4 linked regions of the Ovis aries genome follow. The protein of the gene in region 4 interacts with the protein of the main gene of each other region in a pairwise test. Links are inferred from orthologs where the notes say so. Each region holds a gene or a part of one and is shown on either strand. Other genes may lie near its edges.

Region 1 (5,662 bases), on a different chromosome or scaffold from region 4:
GATCACTCCCCAGGACCCCCTCCCCACCGACATCCAGACCCTTCCCTCTTGCTTGAGACTTTCACTTGTGCTTCACTGTACATGGGCTGCTCCTAGCAACCCACGTCTCAGGCCACTGCACACAAATTCCAGTGTTCACAACAAACTCGTCTGCCTGCCCCAGCCCCAACCCCCAAGCCCTCTCTTCCCTGTGTGTGCTCAGCCTCAGGGAAAGGCAAGGCCACCACCAAGCCAAACCCACATTCATCCTCAGCTCCTCCTCCCGCCTCACAGCCCCTCTGCTGCTGCTGCTGCTAAGTCGCTTCAGTCGTGTCCGACTCTGTGAGACCCCATAGACGGCAGCCCACCAGGCTCCCCCGTCCCTCGGATTCTCCAGGCAAGAACAGTGGAGTGGGTTGCCGTTTCCTTCTCCAATGCATGAAAGTGAAAAGTGAAAGTGAAGTCGCTCAGTCCTATCCGACTCCTACTGACTCCATGGACTGCAGCCTACCAGGCTCCTCCTTCCATGGGATCTGCCAGGCAAGAGTACTGGAGTGGGTTGCCATTGCCTTCTCCCACAGCCCCTCAGCAAACCACAAAATCCTAAGTTCACCTTCCAGTGCCCTCTTGGGTGTTCCTTTCTACGCTCACTGAGCACCGTTGTTCAGGCTACCATCACCTCTCACTGGGCCCCCCAACCACGGGGACCCCCCTACTCTGGTCTCCACACCAGTCAGTGATCTGTGGAAACCACTTAAACAGGGTGCTATGCTCTGCCTGCAGCCACCGCCCTGGTGGTCAAGCCTGGCCTCAAGCTGAAAGATGGCAGGGGCAGGATGGTACCCTCCCCTGCTGACTCCAGGGCCAGCCCGGCTGGCCACACAGCCACGAGAACCACCACTGCCTCAGAAATACCATATTACTCGGAGATGGAGCACTTGCTCCTAGGAGGCTCTGCCTGCCCGGATCCCGGGCTCCTCTCCTGCAGAGCAGGGCTGCATGGCTACATTCTGAGGAAACAAGCAGAAGCACCCAGAGATTCTCCAGGGCAGCAGCCAGAGCTGCCCATCAAAGTCTCCCACCCAATCCTGAGAAACAGTAGCAACAGTAACTGCCTAATTCTTTAAAACTAAGGAGATGGTGCAGGAGGGTGCCCACTAGTGGCTGGCATGCAGCAGTACTAATGGTCACTACGGCAGAGCTTTGCCTCCCTGCCCTGACAGTCCAGGGGCTCACAGGGAACCTCCTATGGGATCCTGGGACCTGGAGACTTCACAGCTATCAGGAAGTCATTATGAGGGGGCCTTGCTCACTTCTCGGCCTCAATTATGCAGTCTTTACGGTCAAGCTCATTCAGAGTCCAGAAGTGTCCTTACAGAAGTTCCGGTGTGAGAAGCATGACCAAGCTCTGGGGAGGACCTCAAGCCCAATCACCAAGAGGGAGACTGCCGGAGAACCCGAACCTTCACAATGGGAGGGTCTCAGTTTTCACCTGAACCCGGGTCAAAGGAGAGGACAAAAATGTGGAGTTAAGAGGACTTGAGCCCTTACTTGGGTTTTGTTTTATTGTTTTTAAAGGAAGGGGAGACTGACTGGCCTCCATCAAGTTGCTTCTGGTGAAATCAAAGTGGAAGTTTCTTTCACATTGCAGGAAGTAATGATCAATCATACCCTTTTCTGTAACCAGGAAGGCAACAGCCCATCACTGACCTTAACAAGGACGCCTTGGAAAAACATCACAGGTTCACCTAGTTTGGTATTACATATGTGCAAACAACAGCGTCCAGGTATCTAGACCGTATACTCTACGTTCTTTCAGTTTCTATCCAAGAGTCCGAACCTGCCACAAAGCCCAAGCCCACAAAAATGAGCCGGTAAAAAGCTGGAGAGTTAGAATCAAGCACACGTATCTCCCCAAACTGGGGGCCTGCCCGGAAAAGCTTTTTGTTGTCTATAGTATTGTCATTTTCGGAACCAAAGGCTTTAAATGATATTTTGCAAGTTCATTCAGAGCTAAAAAACCATCAACTTCATTAAAAGGGCGCTCAGAGGCCTCCCTGTCGTCCACCGGGTTGGGACCTTTCCCCAAGGCTTCCCTAAACCCCACTCTTTCTCTGGGGAGAGAGAGCTGACATTCGCGTCCCCTCCGCGATTCCCCAACAGTTACCTCGCTTGAACTCCTCCAGGACGGCGTCCAGCTTGGTGTCGTTGAAGACGAAGTGAAGTGGGTGATTGTAGAAGCGGGTGATGGTGCTGAGCGGCGTGCAGTCTTCGGGGTCCACGAAAGCTAAGTCCTTGAGATAGAGCATGTCCACGATGTTGGAGCGCTCGTCCTCGTAAACGGGGATGCGCGTGTGGCCGCTCTGCATGATGCTGGCCAGGACGCCGAAGTCCAGCACGGTGCTGGCATCTAGCATGAAGCAGTCCTCGAGGGGCGTGAGCACGTCCTCCACTGTCCGGCAGGGCAGCACGCCCTTGCTGAGATCGCTGTAGGGGTCGCCGCCGCCGCGCGCCAGCTCCAGCACGCGCTCGCGCAGCCTCCCTGGCCGCGCCGCCAGCTCCAGCAGCTGGCCCACCGGCAGCGCTACGGGCAGGGTGAGCAGCACCGCCAAGCGGCTGAGGATCAGCGCGCGCGGCGCCAGCGCCAACGTCCAGCGCCCGCTCACGGCGGCCGGCACCACCTCGCCCACCAGGAACACGAGCCCCGCGCTGCCTAGCACGGCAGGCACGGCGCGCTGGCCGGCCGCGCGGTACAGCAGAACGGCCAGCGCCGCCTGCGCCAGGCTGGCCAGCAGCAGCAGCGCGCCCAGGGCGCAGCCCGCCCAGCGCCGTGCGGGCTCCAGGCGCCGCGCCGCCGCACGCTCCGCCTCCGAGCCGCTCTCGCGCAGCACCTGCACCTCGGCGGGCGACAGCGCCAGTGCGCTCAGCTGTAGGCCCCGCGCCAGGGCCGCCAGCGCCAACAGCCCCGCCGCCCCCAGGCCCAGAGCCCAGGGCGGCGCCTCCTCCTCGGCCGCCGAGCCGCCCGGCTCCACACGCACAGCCAGCAGCGCCGAGTGCGGGCGCGCGGCCTCGGCGCGCAGGCGCAGCAGTGCGCGCCACTCGCCCGTGAGGGCTGCCGCCTCTTCGGCCGCCGAACCCCCCGGCTCCCCGCGCACCGCCAGCCGCACAGAGTGCGGGCGCGCGGCCTCGGCGCGCAGGCGCAGCAACGCACGCCACTCGCCCGTGGGAGCCGCCGCTTCGTCGGGCGCGACGGCCGGCCCGCCCTCGGGGCAACCCGCCCCCTCAGGAGCCACCCAGGACCAGGAGCTGTTGGAGAAGCCCGAGCCGAAGAGGCGCAAGCGGAAGGTGGCCTCCGGCGCGGCCCGCACCTCCCCTTCGTGCGCCCACCCCGCGCCCGCCGCTCCGTCCTCCTCTAGACAGACGCCCAGCACTCGCGGGCCCGGCGCCGCTTCTCCAGCGGCGTTGCCCAGGCAGAGCGCGGCGAGCAACCAGCCTAGCCGACCCGCCGCCGCCGCCGCCATCGCCTGCTGCCCCCTCTCGGCCTCCCGTGCAGCCTACCTCTCCGCCTCCGCCGGGCCAATCGTCGCCAGCCCTGGAGCCTCTTCAGCCAATAGGCGGCGGGCGGGGGCGGGCCCCAGGGTCGGACTAGGCTGCGCCGGGGAGTAAACAAGCGCGGCGCGATCCCGGGGCGGGCCGGGGGCGTGGGGCTCTGGGCCCTGTGGGCCTGGGCCGCGGCACCCGGAGGACGCTGGGCGGCCAGCTGGCCCGCTCTCCGCGGGGGTCTAGTTCCCTTCGGCCGTCCCCAGCGCAGGGAGGCCAGGCCCGTACTCTGGGAAGTCCCTGGCTCGGCACTTGGGCCGCCGAGAGCAGTGGAGCTCCTGAAATTGCAGATAGATAATTTAACGAAGGGAGACGGTCCGTTTCCTCAGAAACCGACGACCCAAACCTCGAAGAGGGCTAAAAGAACCGACGACCGGGCGTCGGAAGCTAAAGCTTATTGAGAGTATTCCTTGATCGCGCGCGACTCTGCTATGGGTCTGGGACGTGACACACACTCAGTCCCTCCTTAGATGAACTTGCACCCCTGCCAGAGAGAACGAAGGACGTAAATACACGAAATCACCGCCTCATTGGATCCTCGCAGCTACTTCGTTATTGATACACTTTACTAGAGAAAAGTGAACACTACTCGGGCACGGATGAGGGGTTCCAAAGCGACCAGCCTAATATCCTGTCGCCATCCCAGCAACACTAGGAGTTGGCATCTCTGTCAGAAATTACTGTATCTGGTCACTTCACTTCTAGGAGAGCATCCTTGGGAAAGTAATTCCTAACGACCAACAGGAACTATTCAAGAGGATCCTCCCAGGATTGTTGTTTTAGAAGACTGTATGGTCCTTGACAGTATGGAATGTTCCTCAACCTGTTATATGTGAACTTTACCTGGTTGGAAGGAAACACGCAAGCTAACAAGACTTCTCTATAAGTGTCCCGACAAAATGGTTTTTTTGTATTTTCTGCATTTTTATGTATTTTCAACTTTCCTAACATAAGTAGACTGATAAGAGCATCCATATACGTGTCATTTAAAATGGTCTTTGCAAGGGCTGTATAGAAACACATATGTTGTCATGAAAATACTATTAAAAAGCTTAGGCACTGTGGTCACAATTAAGTGAAATATACTTGTGTGGAAGGTAATGTGCAAAAATGAGTAAACCTGTGGTGAGTGACCAACAAAAGTATTGTGTGAAAAACTCCAGAATAAGCTGCCAGCAGAAGCAATTATGACCTTTGACCCTTTCCACCGGACTGGCATGCCTCTTTTGAAAAAATAATAATAGACTCAGTCCCTTTGGTTCACACTTCTGTTTCCAAGTCCAGATAAAAATGCTGACACAGATAGAATGGACAACAGCTTGAAATGAGCCACATGCCTGAAAAGTTAACCAGCAAAGAACAGTTCCAGAGGCAAGGTGGGAAAAACGCCCAGTACATCTACACAGGGCTCTGACCTCTGACAAGTTACTTTTCCTCTGGTCCCAGACTCCCTTGGAAAACAACCTTGTAACTTATTTTGGCAGGGAAACCTTTGGATAGAACAATCAGATCACACTTGGAAAACACAAATGATGATTTAAACCATGAGACCCAAAGGATCCAGTGCAGGGCAAACAAAGTTGCCCATGAATGACTTTCTGTGAACAACATAGGTCCCACACCACTTTACCAGCTTCTGTCTTGCTTGGCTCTGCACCATTCTTTAGTCCATTATCACAGCCTCGGTGGAGACACTTGTCACCAGACTTTCAGGTCCCCCATGGGCGATTTTCCTTTCTGGCCATTCAGCTCAAGACATTTCCATGTTTTATCGAAATATTTACTGTTGAGTTTTAAACCCATAACTAATGTGTGTGACCCCTGACTGACTCTTCCTCCTCTCGTCTATACGTCACTTCCTCCAGCCAGTTTTCCTCAACCATCGTTACTAGGTTCAATCAAGGTTATAGGAGCAGCATGCTCCCCTCCAATAAAATCCGGTACTTACCTTCTGGTAAGGCCCATTCATTCATTCATTCAACAAGTATTTCCTGCAGCCGGTGCTTGCAGTGCACCGGGACTGCAGTTGAAATAACAAATACCCTGACCTGCTGGAGCTTAAGCTCTAGTGTGAGGACAACAA
Region 2 (5,634 bases), on a different chromosome or scaffold from region 4:
GATCACAATCTCAGACCTGCCACCAGAGAGAAAAGATTCAAAGCTACAAAGCACAACGCAGAATAATCACTGACAGTGTAGCGCCACATGAAGCGCCACAGATATTAACAGGAAAGGAAACAGAAAGAGTAACAAAGTAGGCTTCTAAGCACCACTGGGACTTCCAATTTATGCACAATAAATAAAAAATAAATTTCATCTGCAGAGGACCCCATGGAGGGATTCAATGCTAAGAAAGCTGTTGCTCCTGGGACTGGGGACCTTAGGAAGGAGGAGAAAAAGAGAAAGAAAAAGCGGCCGTGAAGAGGAAAACTGGTGATAAAGATACAAGCGATTGTAGACAAAGTGCCTTCACAGACACACAGACACAACAGCTCTGCTCCCCATGGCAGTCCTGCAAGGCAGGCAAGGCTCAGATGAGGAAACGAAGCTCAGAAGAGATAGGACTCATCCACAAGGATCAGCTACAAAGTGAAGTGGGGACCGTGGACTCTGGGTCCAGGGCTTGGTTACCCACCCTGGGAGCCCCCGGCTCAGTGGGGTGGGATCTCAGAGGTCTCCTGCCTTGGGAAAGGTGCTTCCTGATCCTGTAAAAACTCGCCTTGGCTGACTGCTCTTTTTATTTTTTATTTTTATTTTTCGTGTTCCCAAACATGAACCCCCCTCCCACCTCCCTCCCGACTGCTCTTTTTAGCAAAGTTTTCTGCAGAGTCGAGACCCTAGTGGTCCAGCAGTTAACACTCCACACTGCCACTGCAGGGGGCATAGGTTCGATCCTTGGTCAGGGAACTAAGATCCCACGTGGGAAGCACCCCCCTCTACCTCCCAAAATAGCTTCAGTTGGAGGAGATATGTCATGGCCTTTTACCATTTACCTCTGTGGTCATCCTCCCCAATACCCATATCCCAGTCTAATAACGAGAAAAATGTCAGGCAAATCCCAACTGAAGGAAAACCTACAAAATACCTGACCAGTACTCCTTAAAACTGCCAAGGTCATTCACAAAAAGAAAAAGTCTAAAACCAGCAAAGCCCAAAGGAGCCTAAATCTAACATAAGATCTTGGATGGAATCCTGAGACAGTAAAAGGTTATGAGGGAAAAAGTGACGAAATCAGAACAAAGCATGGACTTCAGTTAATAACAGGGGTACCCAGGTGGCTCAGTGGTAAAGAATCTGTCTGCCAGTGTAGGAGACGCAGGTTCTATCCCTGGGTCAGGAAGATCCCCTGGAGAAGGAAATGGCAACCCACTCCAATATTCTCGTCTGGGAAATCCCATGGACAGAGGAGTCTGGCAGGCTACAGCCCATGCGGTTGCAAAGAGTTAGACAGGACTATTGCTATTGGCTTATTAATTGTAACAAGTGTACCATACTAATGTAAGATGGTAATAATAAGGAAACTCGGTGTGTATACATAGAAACTCTGTATTACCTTCGCAATTTTTCTACTGTTATAAAATACAAAGTTTCTTTCAAAAGAGAGCGAGAGATTGAGATCTAACGTACATAACAACCAGATTAAGAGCATGGATCCTGGTTTATACAGAACAACAAAAAATGTCCGCTTGGGAACTATTAGAGAAGTCTGCCTAACTGGGTATTTGGTGACAATGGAATTATTAAGTTCATTCCCTATGAAGATAAGACTCCTTTCACTATGCAGAGAAATGTTATTTTTTAAAGACACATGCTGCAGAAAGAATGTTGGTTTTGTTTGCTTTTTGCAGGATCTCAGTTCCCTAACCAGAGAAGGCAATGGCAACCCACTCTAGTACTCTTACCTGAAAAATCCCATGGACGGAGGAGCCTGGTAGGCTGCAGTCCATGGGGTTGCTAAGAGTCAGACACGACTGAGCGACTTCACTTTCCCTTTTCACTTTCATGCACTGGAGAAGGAACTGGCAACCCACTCCAGTGTTCTTGCCTGGAGAATCCCAGAGACGGCGGAGCCTGGTGGGCTGCCGTCTATGGGGTTGCACAGAGTCAGACACGACTGAAATAACTTAGCAACAGCAGCAGTTCCCTAACCAGGGATGGAACCCATCGCCCCTACAGTGGAAAAGCAAAGTCCTAGTTGTTGGACCACTAGGGAAGTTCCAGGAATGTTGGTTTGCCCTCAGAATAAACTCCAAACTCCCACCCAATGCCTAGATCTGAATCCCTGTAAACTGGTGCGAGGTGCTCTCTAATTTAGCAGCACTAAATCCTTCTCTCTCATTTAGTACCACTCTGGGCTTCACTCACCACAATGGTGCCACATCAGCCTTCCTTCTGGCTCCTCCTGCTCTGGGGTCTTGGCCCGGCCTGTGCCTTCCCGCCAGGGCCAAACCAGAAGTAGTCCCTTCCTTCCCTTGCTCTTCTTCATCAGCCTGTTTTCTTCAGTGCCTCAGCTTCTTTTGTGTGTAAACCTTGTGTCTCTCTCTACTAGAATGTAAATTCCCTGAGGGCAAAGATCTTTTCCCAACTTGTTGGCCATCTCACCAGCATTTAGAACAATACTTTGCTCACAGGGTACCAGCCCAACAAACACCTGACGTGTGAATAAATCAATAGGTCTGAGACCAGAACAACTACAGGTGCCATAAGCCCTTCCGAGTGAACGCTATTTCTCTTGATGGTGAAACATATAAGATAAAGAGGTTTTAAAAGAGCGCTCAACTCCCCCGCCCCCACCCCGCCCCTCCAAGGGGCTTCAATCCATTCCCATTTATGATCTTACCTCTAACCGACAGGGAAGGTAGACAGGTAGAAATGGTCCTGGGCGTGGGTTCCAGGCCAGACTCAAGCCACCCGTGAACCTGTACGCTGTGTTGGCCGCGGAGGCATTACAGACACTACGAAAGTCTGCCTTCGCTGCTGAGAGACGGCCGAAGAGCCCTTTCCCAACAACTCATTTCTAACTCGTTACCTCATCAGGCACCTAGGAGAGCGCCCCATCCTTACCAATAGCAAACTCCACCAGGGTCTCATTCTCCTCCGACAGCGAATCGAGGAATAAATCCAAGACCTGCAGCTGCCGCAGATACTGGTAGTTACCGGGGTCATAGGCGAAGTTGGCGAGGTTGGCCAACACTTGCTCCTTGGCGTCTGCGATGGAGAAGCGGGCAGTGGCGCCAGGGTCGGGGCGGTGGTCGCGGCTGGACCCCGGCCCAGCCCCCCCTGCCCCCCACCCCGAGACACTCACCTTGGCTCTGCGTCTCCTGGAATTCCGTGACCAGCGCCTGCAGATACCCCAGCCGACCGACGTGGGGGTCTACCTTCGGCTTCTGGGCCATGGGCGGGCGGCGAGGGGCCCCGGGGAGCGGGCGGGAGAGTGTGGAAGGTTGAGGCTGGGGCGCGGGGCTAGGACCCCACCTGGCTTCGCGGGGCCGGGGAGGGGAAACGAATTCTCCAGCAGCTTGCAGCTGAGACTGGGCTGTGGGAGACGCGGTGGGGACTCAGAACCTCGTAGGAGTTGGGACTGAACACCTAAGTCGGGGACCAGGAGACAAGGACCCACTCTCGCGCCGCGTGAGGAAGGCCCGTCCCAGCTGGGCGGGACGTTCGGCTTGGTTCCGGACTTCCGGGGGAAGCGGCACTTGGCCACGCCCAAAGGGCCAAAGGGGCGGGGCGACGAGGCGAGGGGCGATGGGCGGGGCCGTCGCTGAGCGTGGGCCCGCTTCCAGCGTTTTGTCTCTCGCAGGCGGCGATCCGCCTCTTGATGGAAGTGGTGACTGAAGCCTGCGGTTGTGTTGAGGCGAGCCCCAAGGGCCCGTAGGAGCTCAGAGGTGCCGGGGGTCGCCTGTGTGGGGGACTGTCGGGGTAGAAGCACCTTCAGATGCACCCGCGCTTGGCGATGGGCCGCAGTCCCCGCCCCTCCACCATCCAGGGACGCCGTGGAAACGCGAGCGCCTGCTCCTTGTGTCCCCTCTGTGGCTCTTCTGACACTACCTTCTGGTCGGCTCTTCCCAAAAGCCCAGTGAGGACTTCCCTGGTGGTTCGGTGCTTAAGACTCTGCTCCCAGTGGAGGGGACACGCTTGGATCCCTGGTGGGGGAACTGTGACCCTGTATGCCCGAGGCGAGGCCAAGATGAAAACAAGTCAGCGCGCCTGGTATCCTCTGCTCCCCAGTCCCGAGCTGAGCCTGCCAGGTGGCGGGGCGCACCCGGGGCAGCACCATCGGACCCCAGAAATACTACTTTGGTGGCTTTCTGGGTTGTGGGGAGCCCAGAATGCTGAAGCCCTCCTATCTAGTCCTTTCTCAGTTTCTCAGGAAGGGGTCAGGTGACAGAGCACCAGGGAGGAAGGTGGCCCTCTTGGACTCCAGCGTGTTTCAAAATGTGGGGGTGGAAGCGGCTTAGGCTGTGAATTTCTGGAGGGCAAGGGCCTTGCGCAAGGACAGTGACTGCCACACTCCAGCTTGCCACAGCCCCACTGGGAGCAGCCCCCACCTGGTGGGCTCAGGTGGCTGTGATCAGCCCCAGCCCTATGCACACACCTGGGGCTTGGGGACCCTGGCTGCTTCTTGCAGGGTAGTGTCCCCAGGCCCCTCACCAGAACCTTCACATTTTAAGGAGAGCTGATTCGACCTGGGGAAGTCTATCTCAGCCCAATGTGGCCAGGGGGCTTCTCTGCTCCTGTCTGGATGGAGCAGTAAAGATCTAGGGACAGGACAGAAGTGGGCTCTACCCCACACTGGTCAGGAACTGCTCTGGACCCTCTCTAGAGGAATCCCAGGATCAGCCAAGTGTGGATTCTGGAATCTGATGGGCCATCACATCCTCCATTACTTGCCCCCTCCTAAGGCTTTGGAAAAGCCCCTGATGCTGAGAAAGATTGAACGCAGGAGAAGGGGATGACAGAGGATGAGATGGTTGGATGGCATTACCTACTCAATGGACATGAGTTAGGGCAAGCTCCAGAGAGCTGGGAGATGGCCAGGGAAACCTGGTGTGCTGCAGTCCATGGAGTCGCAGAGTTGGACACGACTGAGTGCCTGAACTGAACTGAATTAAGGCTTCCGAGGCCCTCACCTCTGCAAAGAATTCTTTAAGTCCTTGGTTTTGTGACCAGGTCTTACTCCTCTCTGCCCAGTTCGTGACACACAGTAGCTCAATATTTGTTGAAGGAATTCTGCCCAGAAATGATTGCCACTCTTGCCCAGGGTAGGGAGTGGGGGAGGGCAGGCAGAGGAGGTCAAAGTTCTCTATCCTAAATGTTTACTAATATCTTTTTTCCTTGAAAAGAAATGTTTTCAAGAGTGGGCCTAAAAGGGGATGCATGTTTCAAAGCCATGTGGCTACTAGCACCAAAAAGGATTCATCTAGGGACCTCCCTGGAGGTTAAGACTCCGTACTTCCATTGCGAAGGGTATGCATGGGTTTGGTCCTTGGTCCTAGTCAGGGAACTTCAAGATCCCACATGCCGCGCATGTAGTGCTTCAAAAAAAAAAAGTATTCACCCACCCACCAGCCCCAGCTCTCTCCTCTTCCACTCAGTTAAGATGGAGGAGGCAGGACATGATAAAATGTGCCCAGCTGTGCATTCTCCCTTCAGTGTACAAGCTGTGGATGGTGACCAAGTGCAGACAGGTTGGGGCACAGGGAGGCAGTGGGGGGTCTTTAGGATCAGACTTTTCAGACTGGAAGAGAC
Region 3 (5,613 bases), on a different chromosome or scaffold from region 4:
CCACCACAGAGAACACACTCAACAAATACTTATTCAGTGAAGGACTGAGGGAGTTCCCTCACAGTCCAGTGGTTAGGGCTCCACGTGTTTACTACCAAGGGTGCAGATTCAATCTCTGGTCAGGGAACCAAGATCCCGCAAGCCATGCAGTGCAGCCAAAATAATCAATGAATCAATCCACCCATTACACAAAGATCTTTATAAAAAAGACAAAAAAAAAAGAATGAGTCTCTATGAAATCTCAGAGATGAGCACCAGGAGTGGGAGAAAGAAAACTGCCTGCTCTACCTACAGGTGAAAAAAAGGTATCCCACCTGTGAATTCAGTGCTGTTTCAATGCAAAGTAGGGCTTCCTTGGTGGTTCAGCGGTAAAGAATCTGCCTGCAATGCAGGAGACCTGGGTTTGATCCCTGGGTTGGGAAGATCCCCCGGAGAAGGAAAAGGCTACCCACTCCAGTATTCTGACCTGGAGAAGTCCATGGACTGTATAGTCCATGGGGTTGTGAAGAGTGGGACACGACTGAACGACTTTCACTTTCAATGCAAAGAAAGCCCTTCTGAAAAAGGAAGGACACAAAAGGAATAGGTCTCCTCAAGAACACTGCACTTCAGTCAACAGAGGCAGCCAACAGTGTACTTTAAAATGACTATACCCCTGCCAATAAATAAATATACCTTTCGATATCTGATCATAAAATTAAAAAAAAAAACCTACACACTTCTTTAAATTAGGATAACAAGGAGGGGGTGGGGGAGTAGTGACCCCATAAGATGTGGGTATAACATCACCTTGCTTCTTTAACCCACTCACTCTCCATCCCCACCCAAGTGACTCCTCCACTGCCTGTGCCTGAGTCAGAGGGGGCCACCATGCATAGCACTGTGACAGGTTCCTGAAGTGTCAACCCCCGGAGGCTCTGAGAGACCAATGCAGAGAATGCAAATCGTTGGCACACAGGCCAAATCCAACCCACAGATGGGTTTTGTTTGGCTCCTATCCTGTTAGTTGCCAACTGTTACAAATCTAGAGATTTCACGTAACTATATTTGTGGCTAAAAAAGGCAGCCAGCTACAGTTCTAACACACTATCAGCTCACTGGGACCAGGTGGCAGTCAAGCCTTTGGATAAATGAGGTATTCTCTTGGTCTCCTGGGGCCCTCTGGCTAAGCTTAACTTCTCTGAGTTTTCAACTCTGGTCTAGTCCAATTCTCTTATTGTGTAGAGAAGTGAAAACTAAGGAACAGAGAGGAGAACTGTCTTGCCTAAGGTCACAGAGCAAATTAGAAATGGTGATGGCACAGGATGCCTACTGATGACTCCTGCTTCCCATCTTCTCAAAGAGTATATTGGCCTTTGGTTTGCACTTGTTCCCCTAATGCAATGAACAACCGCACACCTCTACATGATGGCCCCACTGTCGCGGCTTTGATTAGACTATGTGGTTTGGCAGCTCTGGAAGTCAGGTTTCTTCTGAATCCTTGCAGAGTGGGCTGGCCCAGGTATGTCAGGTCCAAACTCCCTCCCCTCACAAGTAGCTGTTCTCTGCTCACCCAGACCCTTGGCTTTCTTCTTCTCCTGTGGCCTTCGGTGGTCTCGGTCTACGACCTCATCACTGGTCCGGATCTCGTCCGGGCCCGGCTCCCCCTTGGAGATCTCCTTCTCACCATTGACTACTGGAGTCTCTGGCTCAGGCTCCCCATTCCTTGAGGCATAGGTCCGGGACTTCTCTGCATCTTCGGGTTCAGCAGGCTCACCCTGTGCCACATCCTCACCTGGGCCCCCCTGACTGTTGTCCACACAGTATGTACTGAGGATGTCTTCCAGCTGGCGGCTCAACTCCTCAGAGACATCACAGAGGGCTCCAGACTGAGCACTCTTGGCTTGTGCTCCTACAGGAGAGGATGAAAGGCAGAGAGGGAAATAAGATGGTTAGGCCGCTAGTTGGGATTTTTCAGGCCCAAACATATTGGTTTGGGTAAATGTTGCCTAAATTCTCTAAGCCTTAGCTTACTTCCCTATAAGCCAACTATTTCTCACTACTCTCCAACCACGCTTATTTTGAGCATAAAAAAAATCAACTAAGCAGACCATCCAACACACAGGGGTGCCATCATGTAGCAGGAACTCTACATCTCAACTCTAGTCCATTCCCTTCTCCACCCTGCCAATGTTGCCTCTTGATATTAAAAAAGTTCCAGGGAATTCCCTGGCAGTCCAGTGGTTAGGACTCTGGGCTTCACCGGGTGAGGGGAGGTTCCATCCCTGGTAGGAACTAAGATCCTGCAAGCCACTGGGTGCTGTCTTAAAAAAAAAAAAACAAAAACAGTTCGGAGGAGACAGTGCTTTGGGAAATCAAGTTTTCTCTTTACTTTCTTCAAGTAATAAATCCTTCTCTGGGAGAGGAAAAAAAAAAGCACCAGAAATGCCTCAAGTATAAACATCAGTTACCCACTTGTGAATGAGGTGTTTCTAACCTGGATTTGCTGGTTGGAAGTCTCATCTGACTGCCAACCTCAACCTGACTTAATCCTGTCAGAGCCTTGTCTGGAGGTCTGCCCCTGTGCTTTGAATGGGAGGCTGTATCCACTCCCCAGTGCCTGGTGGGGGCTGCGCAGACTCAGCATTGGCCTCCTCTCCACATTTCCTCTCTGCTGGGTAAACAGTGGCCTGGGCCTCTAATTCCAGAAGCTAGACCGGCGCGCCACAAACTCCTCCCCCTGCGCATTGGAAAAGCAGAGCTGGCACACACCCTCTGCCTTCCCTGCAGCCTGGCTGGTGGAACCTTCAGCTTCTGTCGCAGGAGCCGACTGGCTGGGCCTCCCCTGGGCTCCCTCAGGTCCTGCTTCCGGTTGCCCCGGAGTGTTTTTGGGGTTGGAAGTGTTGCCTGATTGCTTGGCAGGCCCATTCTTTTTGTCTTGGTTCTTCATTGTAGTTTGCAATGTCAGGTTAGGAGCAGATCCTATAGAAACAAACACATTGCTATTTTCCAGACTTGGATCATAAATCTCAATATCAGGGGGCGCGCGAAGCTTGAAACAAACCGGCAGGCCTTCACCGGAGGGAGTCAGCGGTTCTCCCAGTCTCTGGTCTGTCCGGTGTGCCCAGCCAGGCCTCCTTTTTCCAGAAGTCACTTCCCAGCACAACACTGGCCCCTCACCACAAGCCGCACGCGGAACAGGCTCAAGGCCCGGGACTGACGTGGCGGGACGCTGGATTCCCGGTTCCCGGTTCCTCCCCGCCTCTCTGGCCCCACGTGGGCGCACCCCCGTCGCGCGAGCGCAGCCACCCACGCCCCGCGCGCCCAAGAGCCGCGCGCGCCCCCGCGCGCATGCGCACAGGCCACACCCCTGCCCCCCCGCCCCCCCCCCAGGCCCGAGCCGTCACATTGAACCCGCGCGATTCCCCGCACCGGCCAAAACCATCTGAGACCACAGACCCTCCGCTCGCGTTGTTCCCCCTAGCCGCCGCCGTACGCACCCCCACCGCCGACACCCCGACGGCTTCGCCCGCTCTGGCCTTGCACCGGAAACCCTGGATAACTGCTGCCGGCAGAGCCTCCTGCTCGCGCCGCAGCCAATCAATAGCCCGCGCTAGCGCGGGGCTTGCTGGGAAAGATGCAGCGAAGGCGGCCTCCGAGGAGGGTGAGTTGGAAAGGCGGGGGAGGGAAAGGACTACGCGTCCCTCCATGCATCGGGGCTAACCCCTGACTCCCAAGATGCAATAGGGCTCCAGTCCTCGGAGCCGCAGACCCAGGAGGTCTGAAAGGAGCCAGTCATTCTGCACAAATCACGTCAACCTTGTTTCTATCACGCAGAAGCTATGATTCAGCTCCTAGAGCCTTCCGGATGGCTACTTTTTTCTGCACGCCTCCACTACCCCGTCCCTCCTGCTGTGAACATCTGTGTGTGTGTGTGTGTGTGTGTGTCTGTGCTTAGTCGCCCAGTCGTGTCCGACTCTTGCGACCCCACAGACTGTAACCTGCCAGGCTCCTCTGTCCATGTGAACATCTGTGACTGTCTAGGAACTGTGAGGAGTAGGGGGAGAATACTGGGCTGGGCATCAGACCTGTATTTCAGTCCCAGCTGCATCACTAATTTGCTGTGTGACTGGGCATTCTTTTCCCTCCCAGGACTTCAGTTTCTGTATTCAAATAGAAGTTTTTAATAGTTTTTTTTTTTTTTAAACGTTAGTTTCCCCAGTATCTCAAATACTGTAACTTTTGTTATTCCCAATTTACAGCTGTGGACTGTAAGACACAGGTTAGCTATCTTGTCCAAAGTTACATCGCTAGTGACTGATGAGGGCAGATTCAAAGCCAGGAAGTTTGGCACCCATCCTAACTATCGGACTACCTGCCTCTTACTCAGAATAACCACCCATGGTAGGCCTTCCTTGAGGATGAATCAAGATAACTTGGAAAGTAACTTATTTTTCCATCTTCATTACCAGCTCGAGTCGCTCTTTGGAAGGTACTGAGGGTGCCCTGCCAGGGGAAATTTGGCCTCAGCAGATTTGAGTGTTTTCTCTGCCTGGCGCACCATCTACAAAGTTCCAGTTGCACTGGGGCTAAAGAGGAAAAAAAGCCAAGCTTTTCTCCTTATGAGACCACAAGACAAATGTGAGACTGACTGCAATACTTGATCCATTTGTCTACTAGTGAAATAAAAGGCAACAACCTGTGTGCTGGATTAAATGCCTAACTGGTATGGCTTCTGTTTCTATCCATGCCGTCAGCCTTTTTCATTCCATCTATACTTTTACTATTTCCAGGACTTCCTAGGTTTTTGTAGGTGCTGTTCTACCTTCCAAAATTCCCTTCTTGGTGAAACAAAATCTTTTGAGGCCCACCAAACTCAAAGGCTGCTTCAGAGCCTTTTCAGTTCTCTGCAGTTTGTTTCAGCTTTCTAGGTCTGGACAGAGTTCTGTTCCAGCATTAGTGGGGAGGTGTTGAGATTATTTGCTTACAAGTCACTGAACATCGCAAAACTGTTGGCTAAAAGCTCTACTCCTAAAGCCTAACATCAGTCTAGGGGTTGAGACGGCAGAGAATATTTTGAATTATTTTGCGAATTGGGCATTGTTTTAGAGCTCTTCAGTTCAGTCGCTCAGTTGTGTCAGATTCTTTGTGACCCTATGGACTGTAGCACGCCAGGCTTCCCTGTCTATCACCAACTCCTGGAGCCTGCTCAAACTCATGTGCACTCTGTTGTCCCCTTCTCCTCCTGCCTTCAATCATTCCCAGCATCAGGGTCTTTTCCAGTAAGTCAGTTCTTTGCATCAGGTGGCCGAAGCATTGGAGTTTCAGCTTCAGCATCAGTCCTTCCAATGAATATTCAGTATTGATTTCCTTCAGGATTAACTGGTTTGATCTCCTTGCAGTTGGAGATGACTCAAGAGTCTTGAACTGTCACGATAGTTCAAAAGCATCAATTCTTTGGCGCTGAGCTTTCTTTATGGTCCAACTCTCACATCCATACATGACTACTGGAAAAAACAGAGCGTTGACTAGATGGACCTTTGTCAGTAAAGTACTACCTTTGCTTTTTAATGTGCTGTCTAGGTTGGTCATAGCTTTTCTTCCAAGGAGCAAGTGTCTTTTAATTTCATGGCT
Region 4 (5,702 bases):
GGGTAGAGACCTCAAATTCCCAATAGCTTTGGGCTTAAAAGTCCCATCTTTGGCAGCTCCTGTGAAAGTCATTTAGCTTCTCTGAAAGTCACCTCAGTGGCTGTGTCTACTGCCAGGGGTTACTGTGAGAGGCCAAGAAAGTGGTTACTAAGGTGTCATCAAGACCAAACAGAGGGCCAATTCTCCTGGTAAAGCTTAACCATTCCTGACCTAAAACACTAGAGCAAATCCTAACTGTCTTTATGAAAGAACGTGACAAAAAGTGAGCATCTGAAAGGACTCAAGCTACTTGAGGTACCAAATCCCAGACCCCCTTAGCTGACATCTGAAGCCAGCTCCTCAGTAGGTCTCCTCAACCAGTGGTATCACAGGCTTGGTTTCATGGGCCAAACTAATCTGCCCCTTGGGGTCACTGAGCCCTGAACCAGAGGTCTGGGCCAATTAAAAGCCCCTGGAACACCCCTCAAAGTTCTCCTTAGCCTCGGAGGTGGGGTCTCCGGCAGCATGACCCAAACCCCCAGCACAGCCTGGCCCGGTTTCCAAGAAAGAAAGGACAGTTTCTTCCTTGACATGTAGGACATGCCCTCATAGGTGGGAGAGGAGAAGCGGGGGGCTTCTTCATGGAAGAACGGGATACAGGAAGGAAGCAGGAGGGGAGACGTGTGGCCGTGGCTTTGTTAGGAAGGTGACCCAGAGATGCTGCTCTCGGGAGCAAAGTGCTCCCGGCTGTGACCTAAAGAAGCTGCATCAGTGCTAAGGACGCAGGAAGGGCCCTGGGTCCCGAGAGCTCCCGCTCAGATGCCTGAATCCCACCTGTGGCTGAGCTCCATCCTCAGCATCAGCCCTGGGCCTCCCTGGTGGCTCAGTCTGCCTGCAATGCAGGAGACCCTGGTTCCATCCCTGGGTCCGGAAGATCCCCTGGAGAAGGGAATGGCAGCCCACTCCAGTAGTCTTGCCCGGACAATCCCATGGACAGAGGAGCCTGGCGGGCTACAGTCCGTGGGGCTGCCGAGTAGCAAACGTGACTGAGCGACTAACACTTTCACTCTTCACTCTTCATCCTTCTCCCCAGCATCCGTTTTTAAAATACACGTGGTACTGGAAGGAAAGTGTATGAGATAACCAACTGCATGCTTCGGTCAGATCACCAGCCTTTTGTGTGGCAAATGGAGCCCACACAGGAGGGATGGTGGCTAGAAACGGGGGTAGGGCTAAGGGCAGAGGGGAGGTAATAAGACCAAAGCATCTTTCTGAAGCTAAGGGGTATCTAAGGAATAGGACCTTCGGGGATGGAGCTTTTGAGGTTGCTGGCCTCCCATCTGAAGCGTTGGGGAACAGAACTGGACAGTGACTTGCCAGTTTAGTTGCCAGGCACTGAGATTCTCTGCACTTCCACAGACCAGAAGAGACGTCCAAATGCCCTCAGCAGACTCCAAGTCTGTTGACCAAGTGTTTTTAAAGCCCTGCTTTTGCCAGCATTACTGAGGGTTATGGTCAGAGAATATTCAGCCCTCTGGGGTTACGTTTCAAGCCTGGGGAAGCTGAGACCCAGAATATGCTGGAAGGAAAGGCAGCTGCTGCTGCTGCTACTGCTGCTAAGTCACTTCAGTCGTGTCCAACTCTGTGCAACCCCATAGATGGCAGCCCACCAGGCTCCTCTGTCCCTAGGATTCTCCAGATCTGCCACTAATTTTCAGACCAGGTGACAAGGCTGAGTATCACGAGCATATGCTTAAATCAACTCCGCTCCCAAGTGCCATGAGAAAGTCAATGTTGGTTTTAATAAACGCTAACAGATAAGAGGATAATTTGCAGGTCAATGTAATTGATTTGGATAGAATCCTAATACTAACAGCAAAGAGGCTAAAGATGTCCTCTCTCATCGTATGTGGTAGTTTTAGCTAATTGTTTAACACAGAATCTTCCGAAATCCTCCTAACACTTTTTCAAACTGGCAGAGCTACAGGCATTGTCGGCCACAGATTCCATAGCTTCCAAAGAACAAACCCAAACAAAGGGGATTGAAAAAAGGCAACAGAGAGGGACAAGGCGGGGCCCTGGAGGGGTGATGGGACCCTATTCTGACCTGGTGAGGAGCCTTCATTAACAATCTCGCAGGAAACAGTGCCTTTATGAGATTCACAGAGAGTGCTCACTGGGAAAATGGGAGTGCTGGGGAGAACCGGTAGGTAGAAAAGGAATGGGGGGGGGGCGGGGGCAAGGGAGGTGGGGGGGGCAAGGGGGGGGGGGGGGGCAAGGGAGGTGGAGGGGCGGCGTGCAGAGAACTTGGGAAGGAAGTAACTAGGGAAGGCTGGCAAGTTAATGCCCTGGAGAGAAACAGATTAGAAAACACAAATATTTACTGTGAGGAAGGAAAACTGGAAATCAATAAGACCCGAAAAGACCTAAGGGTGATAACAAATAGAGAATCACAGACATTCGCAATGCAAATGAGAAGCGTTCAGGCAGGGTTGGGAGCTGGGGGGGTGCAGAGGCACTTTCTGGAGACACAGAGCTGCTCCTGCAATTTCTTCTCAAAACAAATGGACTCAGTCTCAGAACCAGAACGGAGCAGAATGTGGCAGATTCGTGCAGGGGCTTGGCAGTTAAGATGGGGGGTGGGGAGGCACCCTGTCCTAAAAGCCAGGGAAGAAGCAGGCGGCATGTGCCCAGCTTGTGGCAGAGGACGTGGGCACTGACCTGGCTTCAAGCCTCTAACTCCAGCTCCGCCATTACTAGTGGACTTGCTGAGGTTCCCAGTTCCCGGTCCTTTGCAATCTCTCCCTCGCTCTGCATGGCCCAGGGCCCCGATGTGACCAATCCAGTGCGCAGTCACTCTCCTTTCTTCCCCGTGTGACCCAGATCAACCCTTCCCCTGCCACCAGCCGTCAGCCTCTCCTTTGGGGAGGTCCAGTCGGCACACTGGTCCCTCTCACAGCCCGCTCAGATCATCTAAACGCAGAGGTGCCCCTTTATCCCCAGAGAGAAGGAAATGGCAACCCACTCCAGTACTCTTGCCTGGAGAATCCCATGGACAGAGGAGCCTGGCGGGGCCACAGTCCACGGGGTGGCAAAGAGTCGGGTGCGACTGAGCACGCTTCCCCCAGAGTGTGCCCAGCCCATCCTGGCAGGGGTCTGGAGCCTGACTCAGGACTTGTGCGCCTCCAGAGTACCCTGGACGCTCATCTGCCCGTGTGTGGCACAGGCAGCAGGTTGAACTCTAATTTCATGCCTCCAAGACCCCACTGGGGAGTCAACCCTCTCCCCACACATCCCTGGACAGAGCTTTCAGATCGTTACCTCTGCGTTGGATTCCTCCACCCTACATTTCAGCCCCTCTGGTTGCACCGCCATGATCTTCCCCCAGGGCCTTAGGTGACTCTGGAGAAGCAAGGCTGCCCCCTTTGTGACATAGCAGCAGAAACAATCCAATCAGGAGGACCCCTCCCGGGAAACGGCTGCTTAGCAGAAGGAGAACTGAGAATGTCCAGCCTGTCGCCCGTGCGCTGGCCTCCATTCTGACCCCCCCAGGCTCATCCCCCTTACGCTCTGTCCCTGGTACACGGCAGGCCCTAATTCTCCTGACCCCTCCACAGGAGCCCAGACCCCTCGGTCCATGTCCCAGGTGTATGGGTTCGGGCCTGTGCCCTTGATCCCAAGTCTCAGTTCTAATCCTCTACCCAGAAGTCCAGAGTAGTGCACAATGTGGGTGTGTGCTAAGTCGCTTCAGTCGTGTCCGACTCTGCAACCCTCTGGACTGTAGCCCGTTAGGCTCCTCTGTCCGTGGGATTCTCCAGGCAAGAATTCTGGAGTGGGTTGCCATTTCCTCCTCCAGGGGATCTTCCCCACCCAGGGATCGAACCCGGGTCTCTTGCGTCTTTTGCATTGGCAGGCGGTTTCTTTACCACTAGTGCCCCCTGGTGGTAAAGAAGCTCCAAACGCTCTAATTTTGAAAAGATTGTCACAGAAACTTCTAGTGGTCGGGCTGGATGGTCTTACCAGATCAATGAACCCACCCTCTCATCTGACCGGAAACCCAAGACTCCAAGTGACTAAGTGGACTGCCCCTGGCACACAGCTGGCTGGCAGCTGACCTTCAGCTAGAATCTGAGGCCCTGGCTACCACTGACCTGCAGTATCTTGCTAGAGCTTGGAAAGAGGGGGATTATTCTGGCCAAAACTGAGAGGTTACAGCCTTCAGTGTTCATCCCTACCTGAGGTAGAACCACATTGATGGGAATTTCTAGGCTTTCAGATCTGGTATCTCTTTTTCTTGTAAAATTTGGCCTCGAGTGCTGTGGAAAAGAGAAAATAGGCAGATTTCTGTTTTCCAGCCCATCGTCTGAGCCTCAGCTGCTCAACTGCAAAACAGGACTTCCTACTATTCACTTCTCCCCTCCTGTTAATTATGTACCTTACGAGAATGTGAAGATGGTATCTGATAAGATGCTTCATCAATCTCTGAACAGAAATTAAGACAGGTCTATATAGTTGATGACAAAGCCTTCTGAAAGTCTTTAGCTACTAGCTTTCCTAAGATTACTATTTCTAGCTCAAGGAAAAAGCCATACCAACGTTAGGTGCCAGGTATAGGTCCTGTGCAGAAGTTGGTCACCAAAACACTCAGAACATTCCAGAGGTGACATCACAAAACAATACGGTCTTTTTCAAGGCTCATGGTCTCTCTCTGAGCATCACAGGTGGGAATGAGGGGCCTGCTGGCCAGGCATCTGGTTGTGTCCACGTGGCCGGTCAGGGTCGGTGTGACACACAATAGCCCAGACACTGGACCCCTGTTTGGTCATCCTGGCTGACATTTGCAGCTCCACTGCCAGGCTGGACTGAGACCCCTTTCCTCTCTCCAGAGGTGGCATCTTCTACTTGGATTCCTCAAGAAGCAAGAAACCCAAATGGAACTCTTCCCAGACCAAGAGAAAAACAAATGGAGTCTGAGATGTTTTCTGACACCAACGCATTCTTCAATTCTCTGACGCCCATTGGAGGTCCTTCAATTCAATTCTGACACACCCTACCTGGCGTGAATGCCGGGTCCCCCAAGTTAAAGGGCTCAGTCCCCACAGAACTGCCCCCACCTCAGATGCCAGTCAAGGGTCTTGGGCCGCTGTTGCACGCATGCCGAGTCACTTCAGTCCGGTCTGACTCTGTGTGACCCTACGGGCTCTAAGCCTGCCAGGCTCCTCTGTCCCCGGGGGAAATCCCAGCTCTAGCCTGGGATTCTCCAGACGAGAATACTGGAGTGGGTTGCCATGCCCTCCTCCAGGGGATCTTCCCGACCCAAGGATCGAACCCGCATCTCTTATGTCTCATGCATTGGCAGGTGGGTTCTTTACCACTAGTGCCACCTGGGAGGCCCCTCGGGCTACCAGTCTCACACTCAGGCTCACGCTTAGGTGCTCAGTCGTGTCCGACTCTTTGCCGCCCCATGGACTGTATAGCCCGCCAGGCACCTCTGTCCATGGAATTCTCTGCAAGAAACTGGACCATCAAAAAAAAGAAAGAAACCGGACCACCAGTACTTCAACTAACCAGCTATACATCAGGGGTTTCCACAACCCAATCCTTAATTTCGATCATTGGCTAGAAAAGCTCAAAGAACTTAGGAAAACACTTTACTTACAATTACAGGGCTTTTTGAAAACTAAAAGATACAGCTCAGGAAAAGCCAAATGGAAGAGATGTTT

What was found.
Region 1: the proteins of CBY2 (region 4) and CNNM3 interact in binary tests that used the Homo sapiens proteins (3 or more experiments, as listed by UniProt). The two-hybrid records come from large-scale screens. The link is inferred for Ovis aries from reciprocal best matches to the Homo sapiens genes CBY2 and CNNM3.
Region 2: the proteins of CBY2 (region 4) and ARMC7 interact in binary tests that used the Homo sapiens proteins (3 or more experiments, as listed by UniProt). The two-hybrid records come from large-scale screens. The link is inferred for Ovis aries from reciprocal best matches to the Homo sapiens genes CBY2 and ARMC7.
Region 3: the proteins of CBY2 (region 4) and TXLNA interact in binary tests that used the Homo sapiens proteins (3 or more experiments, as listed by UniProt). The two-hybrid records come from large-scale screens. The link is inferred for Ovis aries from reciprocal best matches to the Homo sapiens genes CBY2 and TXLNA.

Annotation. Positions count from the first base shown.
Region 1 is NC_056056.1:103,717,829-103,723,490, forward strand, and holds the start of CNNM3 (metal transporter CNNM3), read right to left. Parts: upstream 3,536-5,662; 5' UTR 3,501-3,535; coding exon 2,147-3,500; intron 1-2,146. UniProt on the Homo sapiens protein: Probable metal transporter.
Region 2 is NC_056064.1:55,672,692-55,678,325, forward strand, and holds the start of ARMC7 (armadillo repeat-containing protein 7), read right to left. Parts: upstream 3,536-5,634; 5' UTR 3,279-3,535; coding exon 3,188-3,278; intron 3,091-3,187; coding exon 2,947-3,090; coding exon of another isoform or gene 2,934-2,946; intron 254-2,933; coding exon of another isoform or gene 196-253; exon of another isoform or gene 1-195. UniProt on the Homo sapiens protein: As a component of the minor spliceosome, involved in the splicing of U12-type introns in pre-mRNAs.
Region 3 is NC_056055.1:235,341,579-235,347,191, forward strand, and holds the start of TXLNA (alpha-taxilin), read right to left. Parts: upstream 3,536-5,613; 5' UTR 3,439-3,535; intron 3,325-3,438; exon of another isoform or gene 3,044-3,324; intron 2,962-3,043; 5' UTR 2,930-2,961; coding exon 2,752-2,929; intron 1,892-2,751; coding exon 1,553-1,891; intron 1,547-1,552; exon of another isoform or gene 467-1,546; intron 382-466; exon of another isoform or gene 1-381. UniProt on the Homo sapiens protein: May be involved in intracellular vesicle traffic and potentially in calcium-dependent exocytosis in neuroendocrine cells.
Region 4 is NC_056063.1:16,144,845-16,150,546, reverse strand, and holds the start of CBY2 (protein chibby homolog 2), read right to left. Parts: upstream 3,355-5,702; coding exon 3,301-3,354; intron 1-3,300.